Linked DNA regions of Lonchura striata. The protein of the gene in region 2 interacts with the protein of the main gene of each other region in a biochemical or structural test. Links are inferred from orthologs where the notes say so. Each region holds a gene or a part of one and is shown on either strand. Other genes may lie near its edges.

Evidence for each region. The genes of interacting proteins can lie anywhere in the genome.
Region 1: of the proteins of CASP7 (region 2) and PTGES3, one has a biochemical effect on the other in vitro, tested with the Homo sapiens proteins (2 studies listed by BioGRID and IntAct). The link is inferred for Lonchura striata from reciprocal best matches to the Homo sapiens genes CASP7 and PTGES3.
Region 3: of the proteins of CASP7 (region 2) and PANX1, one has a biochemical effect on the other in vitro, tested with the Homo sapiens proteins (2 studies listed by IntAct). The link is inferred for Lonchura striata from reciprocal best matches to the Homo sapiens genes CASP7 and PANX1.

What each region holds. Positions count from the first base shown.
Region 1 is NC_134629.1:5,675,200-5,683,133, forward strand, and holds the start of PTGES3 (prostaglandin E synthase 3), read right to left. Parts: upstream 3,053-7,934; 5' UTR 1,988-3,052; coding exon 1,845-1,987; intron 1,751-1,844; coding exon 1,681-1,750; intron 1,219-1,680; coding exon 1,120-1,218; intron 922-1,119; coding exon 832-921; intron 646-831; coding exon 583-645; intron 157-582; coding exon 132-156; intron 1-131. UniProt on the Homo sapiens protein: Cytosolic prostaglandin synthase that catalyzes the oxidoreduction of prostaglandin endoperoxide H2 (PGH2) to prostaglandin E2 (PGE2).
Region 2 is NC_134609.1:24,509,480-24,516,762, reverse strand, and holds the start of CASP7 (caspase-7), read right to left. Parts: upstream 3,092-7,283; 5' UTR 3,064-3,091; intron 1,900-3,063; coding exon 1,787-1,899; intron 1-1,786. UniProt on the Homo sapiens protein: Thiol protease involved in different programmed cell death processes, such as apoptosis, pyroptosis or granzyme-mediated programmed cell death, by proteolytically cleaving target proteins.
Region 3 is NC_134604.1:39,428,591-39,435,767, reverse strand, and holds the start of PANX1 (pannexin-1), read right to left. Parts: upstream 3,053-7,177; 5' UTR 3,016-3,052; coding exon 2,835-3,015; intron 1-2,834. UniProt on the Homo sapiens protein: Ion channel involved in a variety of physiological functions such as blood pressure regulation, apoptotic cell clearance and oogenesis.

The DNA.
Region 1 (7,934 bases), on a different chromosome or scaffold from region 2:
CCCAGATTAGATTTGTCTCCCAGGGCTGGCTTTAGCTGGCAGCCAGGATGAACATCTGCTGGCCCTGCCCGAGGGCGGCTCGGAGCCTTCAGCAGGTGTGTGAGGGGAAAACAACAAAGACAACAACTTACTTTCATCATCACTGTCTGGTGAGTCCTGCAAAGGAGAACAAACAACCTTTAAGTGGAGCAGACCCACCCTCTCCCCTGCCAGCAGAGAGCTGCTGTTCCCAAATCTGGATTTTGAGGAATTCCAAGCTCCAGATGACACAGGGAGCTCAGTTTGGCCTCACTGCAGACCCACAGTGACCCCCAATCCCTGCAGAGAGACAGACACCCCAAACTGGTGTCCCCAGCACCTTTAGACCCACAGTGACCCCCAATCCCTGCAGAGAGACAGACACCCCAAACTGGTGTCCCCAGCACCCTCAGCACTGCTGAGAGGGGAGGGAAAGGGCCTCCCCAGGTGACATCACCTGTGCAAACAAGGTTTGGGGCTATTTAAGCCTTTTTTTGGTGCTGAGGGGTGAGTGCAGGACTTCTGAGCCAGCCCTGCAGGTGTTCACTGCACCCACATACTCACATCATCTGCCCCATCTACTTCTGGCAAGTCTACGTCGTCGTCTCCTCCCATGTTGTTCATCATCTGCTCAGAGACAGAACAGCCACGCTTTGGAGTGAATCCAACCCAAAACAACCCAAAACCAACAGCCCTCCCCTTGCTGTAACAGATCAGTTGCCCCCATGCAGGAATTACAAAGTGATGGTGCACAAAAAGCTAGGATTCATTGCCTGGCAACTCCCAAAACTCCAGGAATTTGTAGTTCCCTACCTCAGAAAAGCGATCAAAATTGGACATGTCTTCATCTGAATCATCTTCCCAGTCTTTCCAGTTGTTGAAGTCCACGCTGAGCCAGTTGAGCTGCAGCAAGACCCAAGAGTTATTTAAGGACAAGGAATTATTTAAGGACAAGGAAGTGGTTGTCACTTAGAACAGGTTAACAAGAGCTGCCGTGGGATCAGGAGCAGGAAAGTGACCCAAAACTGCTCCAGAGTTTGAACATGACCCAAATATTCACTAAATTGAAAGCCAGGGGAGGCAGCAGATGCCCAGACTCACCTTTGCCCTCTCTTTTGTTAACCTTGGCCATGCCTGACCAGACTCTCCTTTTCGTAAACAACACAAGATGGATCTGTCTGTTCTTTTATGCTTTGATTCCTGAAAAAGAGCAAATATCCATTAGCACCATCAGGATGACCTTCACCAGGAACTGCTGACATCCTTCCTTTATCTTCACCTCTTCCCTTATTCCTTGTCCTGAAAAATACCCCCCCAGAGAATCTTTCCTGGATCTGACTTTGAGCTTTTATGTTCTAAGGAATAATTCCCCTTAGAAAATATTCCATATTCCTATTTTAAAGGAATAAAATCTTGGGAGCAGCCTAAAGAACAGATGGTATTTTTTAGGATCCAAGAACCAAGGGATGGTTTGGGTTGGAAAAGACTTTAAAAGCCAAGTTCCAAAGCCATGCCATGGGCAGGGACACCTTCCACCAGCCCAGGTTGCTCCAACATGGCTTTGAACACTTCCAGGGATGGAATATCTGCAATTTCTCTGGACAAGCTGTGCCAGCCCCTCACCAGCATCAAGAACTCAGGAAGAGTCAGGAGGATACTCACATTTGGATCGATATTATTAAAAAGATCGATTTCATTTAAATGTTTAAAATTATCACTTCCTCCAAGACAACTGCAAGAGAAAAAGAAATCAGTATTTAGCCCAAAAAACATCTCATAGAACAAATCTGCTTCTCCTTAGCGCTCCCTGTGCCGGAATTACTCACCTGAACGTGAGTTTGGACTTTTCAAAATTTACATTTACGTCTTTGCTGTCTTCGACACAGAACTCGATAAAGACGTAGTCCCTCCGGTCGTACCACTTTGCAGAGGCAGGCTGCCTGTGGGCACAGCAGGGACACAGGGGCATTGATTTTCATCAAGAAATCCAAGGGGAAAAAAAAAGCTTTTTGCACTTAAAACCTTCATTTCGAGCTTACTGTTATTTTTTAAAGTTGCTTTAAACTGAAAAGAGAGGGCTGGAATCAAAAGAAATTATGTATTTGGTGCATTTGGAGTGTGACGCCCCCAGAAAGCTCCTGGGAGGAGCCACTGAAATCTGAGACTGAAATCAACATTTCAGCAGATCAAAATTATGATAAACTTCAAGATGAGATACTACAGATTATGGCAGCAGCTCCACCACCTCCAACAGCTGCACAGGCAGACTTCAGAGTGGTTTTCGTCACGCAAAGAGTTAAAACCTAAAGTAAAACTACCAGAAAAAAAACCAAACCCTTTTTGGGGTATTGATACTATAAAAAAATGGATCTGCTATGATTAAGACCCAATTAAGCCAGCACAGGCTGGAGAATCACTGCTCCAAGCTTTTACAAGTGCTCACACCAGGACTGCCACACACTTTGGAATTCCTCTGCCTTTGCACCTCAAAAAGCAAGAGCATGTCCAGGGGAGCTGGGAAAGGCACAGAGCTCCAGAGCAACTCCTGTGTTTGCAGTCCCACCCTGAGAACTCACCTGCACTGCTCGGTGGAGCGGGGAAAGGAGCTGGCAGGGCTCAGACACCTCCTCCCCCTCCCAGGCCCAGCCCAGGGAACGGCTGCATTCCAGAAGCAAAGGCCTCCCAGCAGGGCTGCTGCAGAGGCACAGAGCCCAAGGGTGTTCCTCAACTCCTTTGTCTTCCTGAGATCGGTGGAAGGGTTGGGAGGGACCTCAAAGTTCAGCCAGTGCCACCCCCTGCCCTGGCAGGGACGCCTTTCACCAGCCCAGGTTGTCCAGCCTGGCCTTGGACACTTCCAGGGATGGGGAATCCATTCCAGGGTATCCCCAGATTCACAGGGAGGTATTTCATCCCAATATCCCATCTTAATCTGCTTTTTAACCTTATCTCCCCCTTTATCTGCCATTCCTGTGCCTCACCAGCCTCACAGGGAGGAATTTTTCCCAGCTGTGGGATGAGGTGGAAGGCTCTGAGCTGGACAAGGATTTAAACAGGGAAGCTGATGTGACATGGCCTGTGACAGTAGCTGAGGCCCTCTGTGCTGCTCTCTCTAAACCAATATCTGACCAAAAAACAACTTTTCAGACCATTTATTAAGGTAACCTTTGCTAAACTTCCAGATGAAGATTTCGACTCGCCTCATCAGCCATTATTTGCTGGCACTGAGCTGTGGCACATTTAGCAAAGGGACTCAACCAAAGGCTCCTGCTGCTCCCATCCACATTTCCTAGGGATGAACCCAACCATGGCCCAGCCCAGCTCCAGCTGGACCCCAAACCAGCCACCTCTGAGCTCCCCCAGTGCCACAGGTCCTGGGCAAACTGGTGCCACTCAGGGAAAGGCAGCAGGATGGCCACAATGCCTTGGGCAGCCCAAACACCTCTTGTAGGTGCCACAACACCTGGGCAGAGACCAATGTCCAAGGATTTCATTTCCAAGAGCATAAAAAAAAGTGGATTCTGAATTCAGCCCTGAGTTTCAGCTGCTCCAGGGGTGAAAACCCGCTGCTTTCCCTCATAGCAGCATTTCACGGAATGTTAATTATCACCTTATTCAGGTGAAGTGCAGCAGCAGAGCAGCAATTTTTTTACTGTGGTATTTTTAAACTCTTCTTGGACACAGATTTCCTCTTTTAAGGGGGAATGAAAGACTCCCAAGAGGAAAGGAGGATGAGAAATGCCCTGCTCTGCTCCCTCTGTGCCAGGAGACAAAACCCCCCAGCGTGGGGCACTCGGAACGTGGCTCCAGCCCCGTTATTAACAGAAATCTCAGTGTCCCTGCCCGGGTGACGCAGGGGCTGAATGGTGTTAACACTTCCCAGCTCTCAATGTCAATGGAGACATCTCCAGCCTTCCCAGGGAGGCTCGGCCGGGATCGGGGGTTTGAGGCAGCACCAGGACTCGGAGCGCTCCCAGAACCCGCCCTGGGCTCAAGGCTCCACACACACACACACACACACACACACACACACACACACACACACACACACACTCACACACACACACGTGTGAGCTGGACAGAAGCGAAATCCCAGCTAAGTCTGACTCGGCCACAATTCGCATTTCTGGATCTGTATCTGTGCTGCTTTCCTGGGAATTCACCCCGGGAGCGCTCGGAACGCGTGACCTCGTGTTGTGGTTTGACATGGAGAAAGAATTTTTTTTCGGAAAGAAGAGGTTAATTTAGATATTGAGTAATTGAAGGTGGACATGTTTTTGAGAATATAGAGGGGTTAAAAGTAGAATTTCTTTAAAACTCTATAACACAAAAAAACCTCTATTCCCTCAATAAACTAAGTATCAATTCTCTAAAAATTAAAAACCTAATTAAAATCCAAATGATATCTCAGTATAACTTATAAAAATTAAATAATAAAAAAAATTTTACAAAGTTTTCATTTTAATCTATATATTTTTTCCCTTTCCTTTCTTTTATAATAATAACTTAATATTTTTTCCCTTATTATTAAACTTAAGCCTGCTTTACTCTATTCTCAATTCCATTTCACAACATTCAATTAAAAAATTACATTTTCATAAAAACACTAACATGGTACCAATATCAAACCATAACACCTCGGCAGCTCGGCTGGGATCGGGGGTTTGAGGCAGCACCAGGACTCAGAGCGCTTCCAGAAACCCCACAGGGCTCACACGCCCGAGCTGCAGAGCAGCGAGACCCCAGATGAGTTTGACTTGGCCAGAATTCACATTTCTGAATCTAAATACACTCTGCTTTCCCGGGAATTCACCCCGGGAGCGCTCGGAACCCGTGACCTCCCAGAAATCCCACTCAGCTCAAGGCTACACACACATGTCCCAGTGCAGAGAGATCCCAGATAAGTCTGACTCTGCCATAATTCTGATTTCTGAAAATCCTAATTTTCATAATTCCAGGTTTCTGAGCCTAAACCTGTGCTGCTTTCCTGGGAATTCACCCTGAGAGCACTCAGAACCCATGACCTCCCAGAAATCCCACTCAGCTCAAGGCTACACACACATGTCCCAGCAGCAGAGAGCAGTGAGATCCCAGATAAGTCTGACTCTGCCATAATTCTGATTTCTGGAAATCCTAGTTTTCATAATTCCAGGTTTCTGAGCCTAAACCTGTGCTGCTTTCCTAGGAATTCACCCTGAGAGAGCTCAGAGCCCGTGACCTCCCAGAAATCTGTCTGACTCTGCCATAATTCTAGTTCCATGTTTCTGGAAATCCTAATTTTCATAATTCCAGGTTTCTGAGCCTAAACCTGCACTGCTTTCCTGGGAATTCACCCCCAGAGTGCTCGGAACGTGCTGGAGCTGCCTCTCCTCCTTTTATCTGCTTTTCCAATCTCATCCTCCCAAAGGCAGGAGGGAAACCTCCCAGTCAGCTCCAGTCAGGACTCACCAGTTCCAACCAGTACTGCAGGACCTGCCGGGGAGCTGGGATGAGGCGGAAGCCGCAGCTCCTCTCTGTCTCCTGCCCACACGGAGATTCCCAGGAGACAACCCCAAACAGCAGCAGCCCGTGGGGAGCCCTGCACGTGCTCCCAGAGCTCCCACACACCCGTGGAAAATCTCCTCTCACAGGCACTGCCCCACCGCCTGTCGGAGCTCCATCCTGCTCACCCCAACTCCGAGGGAGCTCAGCCTCCTGCCAAGGGTGTTTTGGTTATCCAGCACCCCCCCTCCAGCATGGGATTTGGAAAACAGAAAGGGATTTAAAGGTTTAAAAGGGAATTTAGAACCCTTTTAAATTCCTGGGTGGTTCCCAGCGCTCTGTTCCGGTGAGGATTTCCTCTGTCCCATCCACCTGTGCTCTGGGAACTTCCTGAGCAGCCACTGCAGCTCTTCCAATCCCCACATTCCAATCGTTATTCCAGCACTGTGGAACAAGTTCTAGAAGCTTCCCAGCAGCACTGATGGGCAACGTGGAGGCTCAGCTTGACCACAGAGCCCTCAAGGCTCTTCCTGATCCAGGGAGCTCTGCTGGATATCCCTGGATTTCTCCTGGTCTCTGGCACGCTGAACTCACCAGGGGAATCTCAAATCTCTCCATCTGTGGCATCGAGGAAGTTTCCAAACCTGTTCTTGTGTTTTCTGCCTGTATCCCGAGCCTATGGAATCCCAGCTTTGTCTCCTGGAAGTATCCTGACAGCTCCCACAGCTCGAGGACACTGCAGGAATCAGGCCCTCAACAAGATTTCCTCCTCCCAGACAGCAATAAAACCTGTTTTACAAAATGACTTTTCCTTTCATTTTTACACCCTGGAAAGGCGCCTTTTTTTTTTTTTCCTCCCCATTTTAAGAAAGCCTCATTTTAGATTTTAGACAATTCTATGCAGATGCAGCAGCGCTGCAGTTTCAGGATGCTGAAATCTACAGAAATTACACGAGAAAACTCCAACGTGATCACACTTCTCTCACTTTCACTCACGTTAAGATGAAGCATCTCCACTGTTCAGGGCTTCAGAAGAAAAGTAAAAGCCTGGCTGAGGATAAGGGCCCAAAAACCATCAGTCAACGCTGTCCCCAGCCCAAATTCCTGACAAAACAAAACCTCAGGAAGTGCTACTGCCTCCAATCCTCCCAGCCAGGCCCGTGGAGGTCACAGAATGGTTTGGGTTGGAAGGGGCCTTGAAGCTCATTCAGCCCCTCCTGCCATGTGCAGGGACACCTCCAGGGATGGGACATCCTCTGGAAAATCCATTCAAGTGTTGCACCACCCTCAGAGGGAGGAATTTTTTCCCCAATATCCCACCCAAAGCTGCTCCCTGGCAGTTGGGAACCCTCGTTCTGCCGCTGGAGACGTGGGAATGCTGCCGGCAGCTCCCAGGGCAGCTCAGCTCTTCTTTCCCAGCCCGTTTTCCACCCTGCACGTGGAAAACTCCGGCTCTTCTTGAGGAAACGCTCGCGTCCACCAGAGCTCTGCCACGAGCTGGCTTCGGGTGGCTGAAGGCAGGCGATTAATTAGGGTTAATTAGCTCCGGGGGAGCCGGGAGCGCGGGATTCCGCTCGGGATGCACGTGGGGGAGGAGATCCAGCGGCTCACCTGCACCGGGCACAGCAGCACCACGGCAGCCCCGGGGCTTTCCGTGAGCCTCCACCCCATCCTGAGGGGCCTTTTCGCTATTGCTCGGTTTTTTTATGGAATTCTGGAACGCTTTGGGCTGGAAGGGAGCTTAAATCCCACCTCGCTCCAGCGGACCGGGCTGCTCCGAGCCCGGTCCAGCCCGGCCTCGGACACTCCCAGGGACAGCGCCAAGCGCGGGGATGGATTTCCCGCAGAAAAACCCCAAGTTCGCCAACAGATCCGCTCGCCTGCGCGCTCTGGATTGTTCCACGCGTTACTTACCGGCAGCTTTCCGCGGTTTCGGCCGCCACCGTTCGGCGGGTGCCGGTGGCCGAGAAACGCGCAAACACCCCCGAACACCCCCCGCCACCCGCGCGGCGGCCCCATTCATCCCGCGCGGAGATTCATCGCGGGACACCGGGGCCGAGCCGGCAACCGGGGCCGGCGGCCGAGCCGGGGCGCTCCGCCCTCACGCGGTAACCGGAGCCGGGCCCAGCCGATAAGCGAGGCAAGCCCGCCGCAAGGTCAGCGGGCGGCGGGAGCCCGCGCTCGCTCGGCGGCGCCGGGGCGGCTCCCGCGGCCCGGTGGGGCCTGGCGGGGCCTGCCCCGCGCCGCTCCCATCCCCGGGCCCTCACATGGCGGATGGCGACGTCTCTCCGGCGGGGCGCTCCTGCGGGGCGTGTGTGCCGCGGGCTGTGCGGGCGGTGCGGCGGCGGTCGGGCGGTGCCGGGAGGGCTCCGGGAGGGCTCCGGGGGCTCCGGCGGCGGCTCCGGCGGCTCCGGGCGGGCTCGGGGCTCGGCGCGGCC
Region 2 (7,283 bases):
CCAAAGATGTTAACATCTGGAATTTTCTTCCACACATACATCTAATTTCTTCTGAATTTACCTAAAATCTTGACATCTGCATATCCCCTGGCTGCAGTGACATTCTGCACTATGTTAAAATTGCAGCTTAACACTTGATTTAAACCTACTACACGAACTTTTCATTGGATGTCCCCTAGATTCCCTGCCAGGAACAAAGATCATTCTCTCTTAATTTTCTCCTTTATTACAATCATAGTTTAGATCAGATTCCATTTTCCTTTATCCTCTAATATTCTTCCCATATCTTCCTTCAGACCAAAGACTTTTAGTTTCTGTAGGACAAAGATAAATACCTTAACTGTCAAGCACCTCATTCCTCTTTAAAAAAATCACTACCTTCTTCAAGAAACTCTGTTATATTTCTCAAAAGTATTTTCTTCAAAATCTAAGTTGAATTCTCTCAATTACCTCATATTTAATCTGAGCAATTTTTTTACTTCTAAAGAAAAATGTTGTAAATTGCATCTTCAAGGAGTTCCCAAAAGATGAATGCCTCAAACTGATGAATAGCCAAATTATTTGAAATATTTCTTATAGAAAAAGTCATAGAAATGCTGATTATTGCCTTTTCTTTGGAAATTATTAACTTTGAGTTGCATAATTTAATAATAGTATTAGCATATCACCTCTTATAAAGAAGACTAAATCAAATATCAAAACACACAATTTATGAAGTTGAAAAGAAACATTTGAAAAAATATTTTACAAGATTTAGAAACAAATGTTACATTTGTCTACTTGTTAAAATTAATAATACACATACACATAATGAAACATGTTTGAGGAATGATAAAATGAGACAAAGTACAGTGATTTGCTTAACAGCACATCAAAAGTCTTCTAAGAGTAGAACATTTTCACTTCTCTCATGAATTACCCCTATTAAACTCATAGAATAAACAGCAAAAATAAAAGTATATTAACCATGTACTCTCTGAATTATAATGCTCACTTTAATGTAAACTTCCAATAGTAAAAAAACTCAAAACCTCTCTGTAAATGCATTAGACTTTGCATCAAATCTCTCCTGCAAAATCTCAATAAATCCAATGTCAAGTAGCCATTTGCTGATATTCAACAGCATTTATAAACCTTGCGTGTTCATTTTTCATTTTTTGCATTTCTAATCAAATTTTCCAGTATTTTCAGGAGTACAGACGAGCAGTAAATAGTTCTTGCTTCCCACTGATTTAATGAAAGTAAGCTTATGCTTCAGTGAGACTACAATGCTTTAAAATTAAAGGCTTTTAATGTGTTCTGTAAGGGGTTATATCTCTAGACTTGGGGAGGCTTCTTTGTGCTACAACCTAGATGGCACATCCAGGCTTTAAAGTAACTTAGACAGTCAGCAGGAGATTCCAATGATGCTGGAGATTAGCTGAGCTGAGTGCAGTAAAATAGATAATTAATGGCATATTCAATTCCCAGCTCCATCAAAGGTCAATGTTTAAGATGTGGGACTGTAATTGATGCTAAATGAACTTGGTGGTCTCTTAGCTGCCAAATAAAACTTATGGGAGACATTATAGGTTTCCCTTTAGGGGATATTACAAAGAAATGATTTAAGGTACAGACAAGATACATTAAATTCATACAACATAAACCACCTTTCTATCCAGACCATCAATAACATTGTGGACATGGCAAACTGAACACCAAATCAAGACTTTTTGTGTTTCTTTGATTAAAAGGGTACCATGGCAGCTGATACAACAACAAAAACAGGAGTACAATAGGAACTTACGTTCTAAAAAGTGAGAACCTGCTGCGTCTATCTGGCCTTGCATCAACTACATCATTGCCATCTTCATCACCTCCCTCTCCAGCAGAGACATCACCATGCTGATCCTCTGACATCTACAAATGAAAGTGCAAGAATGTAAGCGTCCCTCAGTGAGCACTGACATTTTAGAGATAATTCTATGAACCAGATTATTTATGGCCTGGTTTATAGAAGATACATGTGAGGGTTTTAGGCAGTTTTATTGTATAATGCTTTCTCAAGAAAGAGTGGCTATGGATTTCTGGTCCTGAATTTCTGTGGCATTGCACATGTTCAGCCATCTCTATTTTCTTGTGCCAGTTACCAAAAGGAACTTGTCTAACATCACTCCCAAAAATGCAGATTAAAGCAAAATCAAGAATAATTATATGGTGGAAGATCACAGAATCATAGAATACAATAATAACATAGAGTCGGAATATTCTGAGTTGTAAGGGCCCTCTGGGGTCATCAAAGTCCAACACCTGGCCTGCACACGGTAGTCCCAAGTACCCTGCCATGTGCCCAAGTGAGCTGTCCTCAGCACAGAAGTAATTCCCAGACAGTTTTCCATGGTCTAGAAAGAAGCATGTTGGGATGAAAGCAAGGGCCCCTGTGTTTTCATTTGCATATACAAAGAATCCTGCGTATTTCCTATGGTGGCTGTAATTCAGTCACTAAGCAGTCGGGAAAGCACAGCAGAACGATCTGCGCCAGCACCTTCACTCGGGGCCGGATGCACTGAAACATCTGGTCTCTGCTTCCGGATTTTCATCAGGAAATTAGCAGCGATTCCTGCCCCTTTCCCATAGTTTGGCCGATTAAATTTGCATTTATCACGCCTTCACCGAGAAGAGCACACGTTTCATAGAAAACCACCCCGGACACCGGGCCGCAGCAGCAGCAGCTCAGGGCCCAGCAGGCTGCAGCGGCCGGGCAGCGGGGGTGCCAGAGCTTTGGGAGCTCCCCGGGTGGAAGAGCAGCTCCCACAGCCGGGTCCAGCCTCGGCTTTGGCGAACACACACACGAACACACACACCAAGAGAACCTCGAACACACACACCAAGAGAACCTCGAACGCACACACACCAAGAGAACCGAGCGCGCAGGCCGCGGGCGGAGGGGCCGAGGAGCAGCGGGGGCGGCCAGGGCAGGGAGCGCAGCAAGGGATGCGCAGCCCGGGGGAAAGCGGGCAGGAGCCGGGCAGGAGCCGGGGCAGGCAGGGGAAGGGGAAGGGCTGGGAAAGGCCCGGGGCTTGCCTTGGTGCCGGGTCCGGCCGCTCGGGAACGAAAGTGAAACTTAAAGGAAAACTTAAAGAGAAAGAGGCAGGGCGGCGCCGGGGCGGGGCAAGCTCCCCTGGCGTGTGCCCGTCCCCATCCCTGACCCTTGTCCCCGTCCCCATCCCTGACCCTTGTCCCCATCCCCATCCCTAACCCTTGTCCCCGTCCCCATCCCTAACCCTTGTCCTCGTCCCCATCGCTGACCCTTGTCCTCGTCCCCATCCCTGACCCTTTTCCCCGTCCCCATTCCTAATCCTTGTCTCCGTCCCCATTCCTAATTCTTGTCCCCATCCCCATCCCTAACCCTTGTCCCCGTCCCCATCACTGACCCTTGTCCCTGTCCCCATTCCTGACCCTTGTCCCCATCCCCATTCCTAATTCTTGTCTCCATCCCCATCCCTAACCCTTGTCCCTGTCCCCATCCCTGATCCCATCCCCGTCCCCATCCCTGATCCCATCCCCGTCCGTCCCCCCGGCAGAGGGTCTTGGGCGCTGCTCGCTCCCCAGGTAATGACGGCCACATCACAGCGAAACCGAAATTAACCGCCTTTTAATAGCTGTGCTCCGGCACACCCCGCCAAAGAGGAGTGGAAAGTTTCATGGTGACACGAGGTTGTCTAGATCTAAGGAAATTTTCCCCCTTATATAAACTTCAGTGGCATTTCCTTATCCTCCCAATTATTTTGCGTGTTGCATCTCTGCTAATTACGGTATCCCACTGTGCAGCCCTAGCAGTCCAGTACATTGGACTGAAGATTGGCACAGTCCTGCTAATTACTCCTGGATGCAGGCTCCAATCCTGCAAAATCATATACCTACCCAGCGGTGCGTGGTGTTTAACATTCACTACCTGAAGAGATTTACATCAAAGAGACATTTTTCAGTGTAACTGCCTCCTAATTGGCACAAAACACAGGCATGGTAACAAACAGGCTTTTGCTCCCCGGCAGGTCAGTGCCTCCATGTGATGGAGGAGCTCTTGCCGTGTGTCTGCACGCTGCTGCTGAGACTGCTCCCTCCTTCCTGGGATTATGCCTGTGGCTCCTGGCTGCATGTGCAGCCAAAGTTTTCTCCTGAAAATCAAACTAACAGAATCCCATGGTTTCTCTCATGCCATCTGTTAGCTGCTGCTTTTCAAGAAAACAGCATCACTTCCAAATCCGTAATGGATCACCATGGACAGCGGGAGAGGAGAGGAGAGGAGAGGAGAGGAGAGGAGAGGAGAGGAGAGGAGAGGAGAGGAGAGGAGAGGAGAGGAGAGGAGAGGAGAGGAGAGGAGAGGAGAGGAGAGGAGAGGAGAGGAGAGGAGAGGAGAGGAGAGGAGAGGAGAGGAGAGGAGAGGAGAGGAGAGGAGAGGAGAGGAGAGGAGAGGAGAGGAGAGGAGAGGAGAGGAGAGGAGAGGAGAGGAGAGGAGAGGAGAGGAGAGGAGAGGAGAGGAGAGGAGAGGAGAGGAGAGGAGAGGAGAGGAGAGGAGAGGAGAGGAGAGGAGAGGAGAGGAGAGGAGAGGAGAGGAGAGGAGAGGAGAGGAGAGGAGAGGAGAGGAGAGGAGAGGAGCTCTAGAATTATGGAATTCTGTAGAATAATGCACCTCAGTCAGCTTGATGGATGTGTTTTGTCTCTGTAATCAGGCAGAGATGAGAACAATGCACATGCCATATTTTGTGAGTTTTAAACTTGAGGCTTATTTGTGTTATGATACGCAACAAATGGACATATTTGGACACTGGTGGTTATGTGGGCTATACTCTATGTGCTTTTCACACTTTTCTTCAAGCTTTTAGCTTAGATTGTAGCACATCCTAACCCATTCCTTTTCTGCTGTGTAACAGTGGTGTCTTCTTAGCCCCTTGGTTCTTTTTTTGATTTCTCTCTTATTTTATCTCACTCTGTTAGAACCATTTGCACAATCCCTACACTCTCAGTTTTTCCTGACACTGGCAACAAGGGAAAGTGCAAGCATAAACTCTTTAATCATGAAATATAAACAGTTGTTGGTTGGTTTCCAAAACAGCAAAAATGGAAAAAGCAACTGTATAAGTTTGGAAAGTTCCATAGAAGTTTTTATTCAAGTCTTGGGAGATTTTAGTGTTGATAAAGCTCTTCCAGTTTTCTTTCAATACTTTTCCAAGCTTGATTTGCTACCATGCTAGCATGGAGAGACTGTGTGAGGCAAAAGGCCCTGAGCCCAGGTAACTAACCAACCACAGCATTCAGAGAAGGTGAACGTAGACAAGGCTGGTTGAATGCTTGAAATTTTACAGGCAGCTTTTACACTACACTTTGTGTAGTGAACCAACACCTTTGGGTTTTTTTTTTGCAAACAGAGGGAAGATAGGATTGCCATAATTAGTGATGTCTGGCTTCCTGTTCTTCATGTGGTTGGAAGGGCACAGCTTCAATTCAGGAGTGACAGAGGAGGTGACCCTGACTTGAATGTCTCTTGAGAGGTTACTTTGTGTAACTAATATGTGCTTTTTTACAATCAGATTGAGGATGAAGACATGCTTCAAGTTTTCTGTGCAGTTAATTCAACGAATTTAAGGAGGCTGGAGAGGTAACAATGTTTCTTCCCACTAATTTGCACTTTCAAGGTACTGTCTCCTTGTACTTTATGTGTAACCACAGTCCTTTTAAACCACATTGATTAAGGTTCTACTGTTAAGTAAAGCCTTTTAAGATTTTCATTGATATCCAAAAGCCTTTATGAGGCCTTACTAAAGGAGGAAAAAAGCCACAATGAGCTTTTGACTGAAGAGAAAATGTCTTCCTAAGATTTGTCAAGATAACAAACTCACACTGGTTTTGTGATTTAATTCCTTGTATGATCAAAATGCAGCACGTACTTTGTAATGAGACCATTCAATGTTTATTTTTTAATAAACTCCCTTTTTGGTTAGCAACTTGGCTTTAATCCAGGGTGGTGAAGAACAAGAGAGTTTTTGGGTCCTCAGAAATGGGAAAGTCTTTAAGAGACTCCAGCAGAACTGGTGCACATTGGATGTGAGGGAAGTAGTGTGGCTGGGGAAGGCAGTAGCTGTAGAGGACATTGTGTCTTGCCACACTTCTCCTCTTGAACATCCTGTGGCTTGAGAGAAGCAGGAGAACTTGGAAAATGCATTTACCAGTCAAGCTGCTAGTGTCTGTCACTGTGAAAATAGAAAAACAGGCTTTGTAGACCTTGAAATAAAGTAGGATTTGTCTGTGAAGCAGAAAGATCTGTCTGAGAGGCCTCTTGGAAAGAGCACATGGTGTCATTCCCTTCAGGGACATCTCTGTGCTCTGTGGTACACAGTGCATATGGACAGCATGATGATCCGTGCTGGAGTCCTCTCCAGATGTTCAGGTCACTCCTGGATTAATTATTTGTTTTGTAATTGCCAAGTCTTTGTGATTTTGTGTGGTTCAGGGATGTCCTGTTTTCACCACCTCTCTGAACTCATTTCAGGAGGGTCTTAAGCAATGCAGAGACAGGAGCAGGTAATGCACCCCTTTCCTTGCTAAAGTGTGAGACAAGGGCTCCAGCATGGCTTCAGACAGCATGGAGACAACTGGGACTGCATAGAAAACACACAGTATGGTGACTCTTGGAGTAGATGAACACAAAGAGGTGACAACTGGTAGTGTGCCAAGTGCCAAGCAAGGAGGGGACAGCCCACTGTGACCCTAATACAGGTCACTTGCATAAACAGAATGGCAATCTGGGACAAGATGCAAAGCTGTGTGAGAAGGGAACTGGAAGCCTTCCAAATTGCTTTGGTTCACAGGTGTGAATGAGATAAATATTACCGTGATGTAACTTGGTCAACATAAACCTCTCTTGATCCCAAGAAGAATAACATAAGGTAACTCAGCAGTTATTTTAGTATAAGAAATTATGTTCTGTGGACATTTTAAAAGATGAAAATGCATCTGTTTATATACTGATATTAGTTACTTTGAAAGGCCTTAAGTGTTTTCAGGACTTTGTGCCACTGCTCTTTAGATTAGAGACTCTATTTTCAGCACACCAGTTGCTGACAGGACATTGTGCCAGTACATTGTCAGCATTCAGTAAAAGTAGCAATAATAAATTAAGGAGAACTGCATATCTCAATAGAGAGAGATGAATAGGAGTCTCCCCAAGCATACCCAGAAGGTTTAGACAGAAATTATTTTGATGGAATTGTTTGCAATTTACAGAAAAGGGAAGTGCTTTGCAA
Region 3 (7,177 bases), on a different chromosome or scaffold from region 2:
ATACCAAGTCACAATATAAGGAATATACATGTACAACACAATCCTCACAATGCTATTGTTATTTACATTTTCCCATTCCCAGTATATATAAAATTGCATAAAACTATGTAAAATTGTATAAAACAAGGTCTAGTGCAAAGAGGTAACAGGTGCAGGATTTCAAATAGCAAATATTCCCAGGGATAGCAGACAACAGCTCAGCCACTGCTTAACTACTACCAGAACCAGCTTAAAATCCTCAGAAAATTACAACTGACTATGGATTTCTAAAATATAGCAAACAGTAAACTCAGATTAGTTCTCTTCCTGACCCTGAAGAATTTCAAAGCACGGTGCAGGCACTAACCCCAGGATTTCAGCACTGCTCACTGGCTGGGTGTTACAGCTGGGTTTTCCTTGCCTCCAGCAGAGAAATCCTCTGTCATTCAACTGGAATCTCATTTATTTCCTGAAACTCCCATCAAAACTAAAAGTTACTTGGTGGCTTCAGAAAACTTCCATAGCCTTTGCATACATTTTAATAATTTTGCACAATTAAGAGCAACCGCGTGTAGGAGGAAAATTGCAGGTGTCTTGACACCACACTGCAATGGAACAGGAAAGCAGAGCAGGAAGGGAAGGGGACAGGATGAGGTGCCAAGAGAACCTGAGGTGGGAGGAATGCAATTATCCCAACAGAAATAGAAGCTGAGCATTCGTTTTTGGAAAGGGTGTTCAGTTTTTGTACTCTGAGGCAGGTATTTCCACCAAACATTTTCACATCCACCTCTGAGTTGCTATTTTTCAGATGTAAAAATGAACCCTGACATTTTCGCTCAGTCTAGTGCTGCTGGGCTTTTTCAGAGCATGATTATATCACAAAGTGTTTGAAAACAAACTTTGCTGTCTATTTCATCACCGGCTGAACACCACAGCACAGACAACCAGGCATTTCCAGCCCCTAAAATCCTCAGTGTTCCTCCAAATGCTTTAATGGGAGCAGTTTTGGGCTGTCCTATAAGCAGCCAGCCTGTTTTGCTGCAAGGACTGTGTGGGAAATAGGTGACAGCTGTCACAGCAGCATGGCTGATTTACTATCACTTTCTGTATGGACAACACGTGGTGCAGTTTCACCCATGTCCGGAAATAACAATAAAAAGTACTTCCCAAATTTATTTGCATATTTATTTTTTCAACTAAAAAAGCCCAGTTTTCAACCCAATATTTTCTTCTAACAGGTTCTCAGGATTATAACCAAAAAAAAACACTAGCGATGCAGCCCACATTTCCATTCTTCCTTTATTAATCTACTGCACTCACAGATTCAATTTGAAATAGTTTTAATATTGAAATAATTGAAAGACAAAAACTTAACTCATCTGAAAGAAAGGCACACTTTTCCAAACTCTGCAGTTCAACTGTGTGTTTAATCTTTGTGTAAGGGAGTAAAATGAAAAAAAATAAAAGAAACATTAGTACCCAGCCTTCAACTGGGTACTGTTCAAGTGTTTCAAACTGGATCCAGCACTTCTAGAGTAGACGTAGAAAGAATTAAGGGGCGCATATACAAGCTACTGTATGGAAATACACCTCTTTTTCATTCCTTTAAGAATAAGCAATGTGCATCTATTAGTAGCAGGTCTTAAACTAGAAGAAGAACAGTAGAGTGCCAAAAGATGGATGTTCATCCAGTTTCTGGGTGAATAGAGCTGCCACGGGGTTCAGATCTGGTCTCAGCATTCCCAGTCTGGTTGTCCTTCACTTCCCTACGCAGTTATTGCGGCCCACAGCAATCAGGTGCAACAGGGGTGTAGCTGCTTATAAATACAGCAATCTGGGGCATCTTATCTCTCAAGCAATTTGGTATCTGACTAATGCTACTCATGATGGCTTTGCAAAGATTCACCACTCATCCAAAGTCTCATTCCAGTTTCCACTCTCCTGACATTCACTTGACCCAAACCTGTATATGATGGAGATCAGGTATATAACACTGAATGCCAATAAACAGGTACATGCAGCAAATCAAACTATCTCTCTGAAAGTCTGGAAATCCTGTGATTCAGTCTCCAAATGCACAGCATTACATATATACCTTTGAAATCTTCATTCATATTAGCAAATCATACAAAGGCTTGGGTTGGAGCAGACCTTAAAGATCATTTAGCTCCACTCCTCGCACCAAGGGCTGCTGCGTAATCACTTTTGTAACTTGGGGAGGTGGGTAAATAAAAATATAGTGAAATCATTGGAGAACCTGGCCTTTTACCTTGTAAAGCATAGTTTCGTTTACCGAGCCACGGCAGAAATTGAAAACTGAACTGGAAGAGCTGCAGGAGGGGAGAGGAGCAGCGGAAAGCTTTAGAGAGCTCTCACTGTCCATCCTGCGGGTGACCACCCCACCGAGCCGCCTGCAGCGCAAGGCAGAGCTCTGCCAGCCCTCCTCCGCGGCACCTGTCCCCGACAGCTGAGCGACACCCAGATCCTAACGCCGAACATCCCGAGCGCCAGGAGCGGCGGCACACGGGCACTCCCCGGGGCACATCCCGGCTGGCTGCTGCGGTCCGAACCGCGCTGGGAAACAAAGGGCGGCACGGCTTCAGCGCTCCATCGCTCCCACGGGAGAAGCAAGATACGGCGGCGGCCAGGGAATGCCCCGGCGAGGAGCAGGGCACGGGAAAGCGCGGGGAGGGCCGGCCGGGAAGCCCAGCACACCTGGATGAGCCTGCCGGCAGGGATGCTTTCCGGGAAAGGCCCGTCCGCCCTGCCCCGGGCGGGAGCCCCCGGCAGCCGAGCCCCGGCGCTCCCGCCCGGCCCCGCCGCCCAACGGGCCCTTTGTCCGCCGCGGGAGTTACCGATGGAGACCTCCTGGGCGAAGGCGAGGGAGATGAGGAGCAGCGGCAGCCCCACGGCGATGCAGGTGACGATCTTGTCGAGCGCCAGCTCCAGCCGCAGCCCCTTGTAGCGCGTCTCCGGCGGCTCCTTCAGCAGGAAGTCGGAGAAGACGTACTCGGTGGCAATGTGCGCGATGGCCATGGCTGGGCCGGGCTGTGCTGGGTTAGGCTGGGCTGGGTCAGGCTGGCCGGGCCCCGCCCGGCGCGGCTCGGCTCGGGAACGCCCCGCAGCCCGGCCCGGCCCCGCCCGGCCAGGGGCGGGGGGCGCGGAGCGGCGTCCCGCGGCTCGGGAGAGGGGCTGAGCCAGCGCCAGGCGCCGGGGGTCGCCGAGTGGCTTGGCTTGGAAGGGACTTTAAAGATCCTGTGGGCAGGAACGCCTTCTGCTAGACCAGATTCAGCCTGACCCAGAACACCGCCAGGGATGGGGCATCCACGCATCCACAGCTTCTCGGCAACCCATGCCGCTTGTGCTGCCGTCCTCACAATAAAGAATTTCTTCATAAAATCTATTCTAAACGCACGCTCGTTCACTTTAAAGCCATTCCCCTTTCTCCTATCACTGTGTATCCTTGTAAAGTGTCATTCTCCCTCTTTGTTATAAGCCCCCTTAGGTACTGGCATGCCACAGTGAGGTCTGTTTAGAGCCTTGTCTTCTCTGGGCTGAACAGGCACAGCTCAGTCTGTCTTCTAGGAGAGCTGCTCCAGCCCCTGCACGGACCATCTTTGTGGCTTGCTCTGGATGTGCTGTAGCATGTCCATGTCACTCTTGTGCTGGAGGCCCCAGAGCTGGACACAGTGCTCCAGGGGGGATGTCAACAGAGCAAAATAGAGGGGCAGAATCACTTTGCTTGTCCTGCTGGCCACGCTCTTTCTGATCAGGTTAGCTTTCTGCACTCTAAGCACAGTTTGTTCATGTCCAGCTTTTCATCCACAAGAGCCCCAGTGAGGGGGACTCTCCATGGGCTCTCCCAGTCTCTACTCATGTTTGCGGCTGCTTCAACACAGGTACAGTGTTTGAATGGAGATTTCTTGTGTCAATTTTGTGCCCATCAGCTCAGGTCATCTCAGCAGGCACTGCCAAGAACAACCCGACTCTGTCCATGCTACTCGTCCATCAGCTGTTTGCACACACTGTGGGGAGCCCCTGAGGCACTTTCTCCAGGCTGATGAGCCCCAGCTGTCTCAGCACTCCTATCCCCACCACAGTCTGACAGATGCTCCAAACCCCTGACCTACCTAGCACCATGTACTGTGGCATTTTCCCCACACAAAATGTTTGATCGCTGCTTTTCAGGTCAGTTTTTTGAGAGAGTCACTGGGGTGCCTTCACCTTTAATAGCCCTTAATTTTTTTGCCCTTCTGTATTTTTCCTGTTGGTTTCTGGACCTCTGTGAGCTTGGAGTATCCTCAGCCCAGGAGTCACAGAGGAAGTCCACCCCATGAGGAGCCACTTCCTGTGCTGTGCTGTCATGTATGTAACACTCCCACAGCTCATTTCTTTCTTCAAAAGGGACAAACTATTCCCTCCTCCACTCAAATTCTCCTTTATAAAACTGCTATCCTACCTGCTTTCAACTGTCCTTCCTATTTTTTCCCAGCCGTAAGCTGAGGAAATCATTCCTCATATGGAAACTGTTCTACAATACTGATTCCCTTTCTTGTTCTTTTGTGCTGTTCTTGTGCTGCTTGGCTAGATGAGGTCAGGAGATTTGATCCATGCTGTATACAAGATGCAAGTGCCCCATACATTTATGTAATGGGACTAAGTGGTGTTCTGTTTTGCTCTATTCTTAATTTGCACCGATTCCTAATATTTTATTGCCTTTCTGCCCACTGAACAACACTGGAGCTAATGTTGTCATTAAAGTATTATAAATAATATCCCATTTCAGAGATGCTTAGACAGCATTATACATATAAGGTTAGGATTGCTTTTTTACACATGTAGTACTGTAAATGTATCAATACTAAATTTTGTCTTTTGTCACTGATTTTTCATGCTGCTTAAGATTGTCACTCAACTTGTCCACTCTTTTTCACAACACTTAGATAAAATAGTGAAAAGCAAGGACAAGCATGTCCTCCAAGTCATGTAGCACCCCATGAGTGACTATCAACATGAAATCTGACAACTTTTCACTGTCTTTAAACCAGGTATTTAACCTCCCTGAACTCCTTCTCCCATGGTGATTTCATTTCCTTAAGAAGCTTTAACTGAAGACCTTCTCAAAGATCTTATGAAAATATAAGCAGGTTATATTCATCCATATTTCTTACCTACGCACTGAGTCCTTCAGAAACCTTCCTAAGGTACACTTTTCTTGTGGGAAAAAGAAATAACAGTATAAATTCTTCCATGTTCTTTTCTGTTTGGACACTTTCCTGGTTTTGTTTTTAGAACAGTTTCAACAGTTTCACTCATGTTGTGTGGCCGACATAGCTGTTTAGTTATCTGGAAAGTTTTTAAAGATTAACCTTGTATTTGTCACCTTTCAAGCTTTTGGATTTAGGACAGTTCCCAACTGCTACCTCAGTTTATAATCCAGATTTTTCATACCTGAGGGCCTTTAGCACTCAGTGGAGAACATCCCTGCCTCAGTGACTTGATCTGTTAATTTTGTTGCTTAACTCTGTTCCTGCCAGTGCTTCAGCCCAACACAGATGCTGTCTGTCAACACAGGTGTCAAGGCACAGGCAGGCAGTGGTAAACTTGCTGCTTTTTGTGACGTTTCGTGATCCCTGAGGAGCGGGACAGAGGAAATGAACTGTGCCAGAAGATTCATACAAATAGCTGGGGTTTTTTATTATTAATATAATCACTTTGGTAAACTAGTTTCTACAGTCAAAACATACTTATGACTCTGATTTGAAAACATCAGCTACCTAGAAGTGAAGTACTAAATAATTTCCTTTCTTAATAGTGCATTTTGAGTGAAAGACTTTAATTTTATATGTACACAGAGAGCTAAAATTCTGCACAGACACTATTTTTGCACAGAACAGGAGACCCCAATTTTAAAGTTTAAGGGACAGAAGATGAAAGTGTTTAGAGAATCTGTTTTTGCCAACTCGAATTGGAGATTTTGAGAAGGAAATTTTGTTTGTTGATATGATGTAAATTCTATAAGGGCTTAGTCCTGCATTTGTGGTTTATGTGTGTGCTTTCAAATGACTGAGGAAAACAAAGAAATTACTGAGAAATATCCAAGAACCTTCAACATATTGTTTGGCTGGACATCACTGCAGGACACATTTAAGCCACAGTAAGTGTTGCACAGTAAAATTTTCTACTTTTGAGCATACTTTAAAGTACAGAAGTGGAAAAAAAAAAATTATAAACCAAAACAGCAACTTGAATTTACATTCAAATGCAGATTTGTGTAAACAGTTTTACAAAGGTGTTTGTTCTGGAATTCCTCTGCTAGAGTTATAGCAGGCATGAGCAGGCAAGAACGAACACAACCTAACAAAAAAAATTAGCTATAAACATTCAAGTATCACTATACATGTCCTGATTCTGTCTGTCTGCCTCACAGAGCACAAAGATCATCCTCCTGATGGCTTCATTACAGGTAGGGAGAGAGGTGTTGCTCAGTGCAAAGAAGAGGTACAGAATCAGGACCGTAACAAGCAGCATTTACAAAGTCAATTAATCTCTTGGAAGTTGTTCAGAGCTAGATTTTTAGAGAAAAATAAAAGCTGTTAGAAACTAACAGCAGGGGCTCTGCTGAACTCATTGGGTGCTAAAATTTATTTGTAGGTCTTCAGAAATCTGTTCCCAGTGTAAAGTTTCCTCATTTAACAGGGAAAAAAAAGAGACAATAACTTGAATGGTGGTGAATTCATTGAGCCAGACTTTGGGAAACTGCAGGGACTTGGAGATTGGCACCTGCTTCTTCAGAAGCTGACAACTTAAGCCAGTTCCTGGTGGTGTTTATTTCCTAGGGTGAACCCCATGTTTCTGCACATGGATGCCGTTCTGCCTGCTCTGTACTCCTATGAAACCCCAGTGAATGCCAAGAGGTGTGCTGCTCTGCTCAGCTGCCAGATTGGATCTTGGACAGAGCTCATCTGAGCCCAGGGGAGTGGAAATGGTGATGGGTGGTACCTGGCTCTCAGAGCTGAGCCCTACAGCTCATGTTCACTCTTGTGACCACTGGCCATGTGGTAGGGCTGTCAGCATATGCCCTGCTCCAGTTTGATTAGCAGCATGGTGGCTGGCAGTATTAAATTAATGGTCAGAATCAATATCTTGGAGGTTTTATGGTTCTATGTTATGAAATCCAGTGAGTCCCTGTGAACAA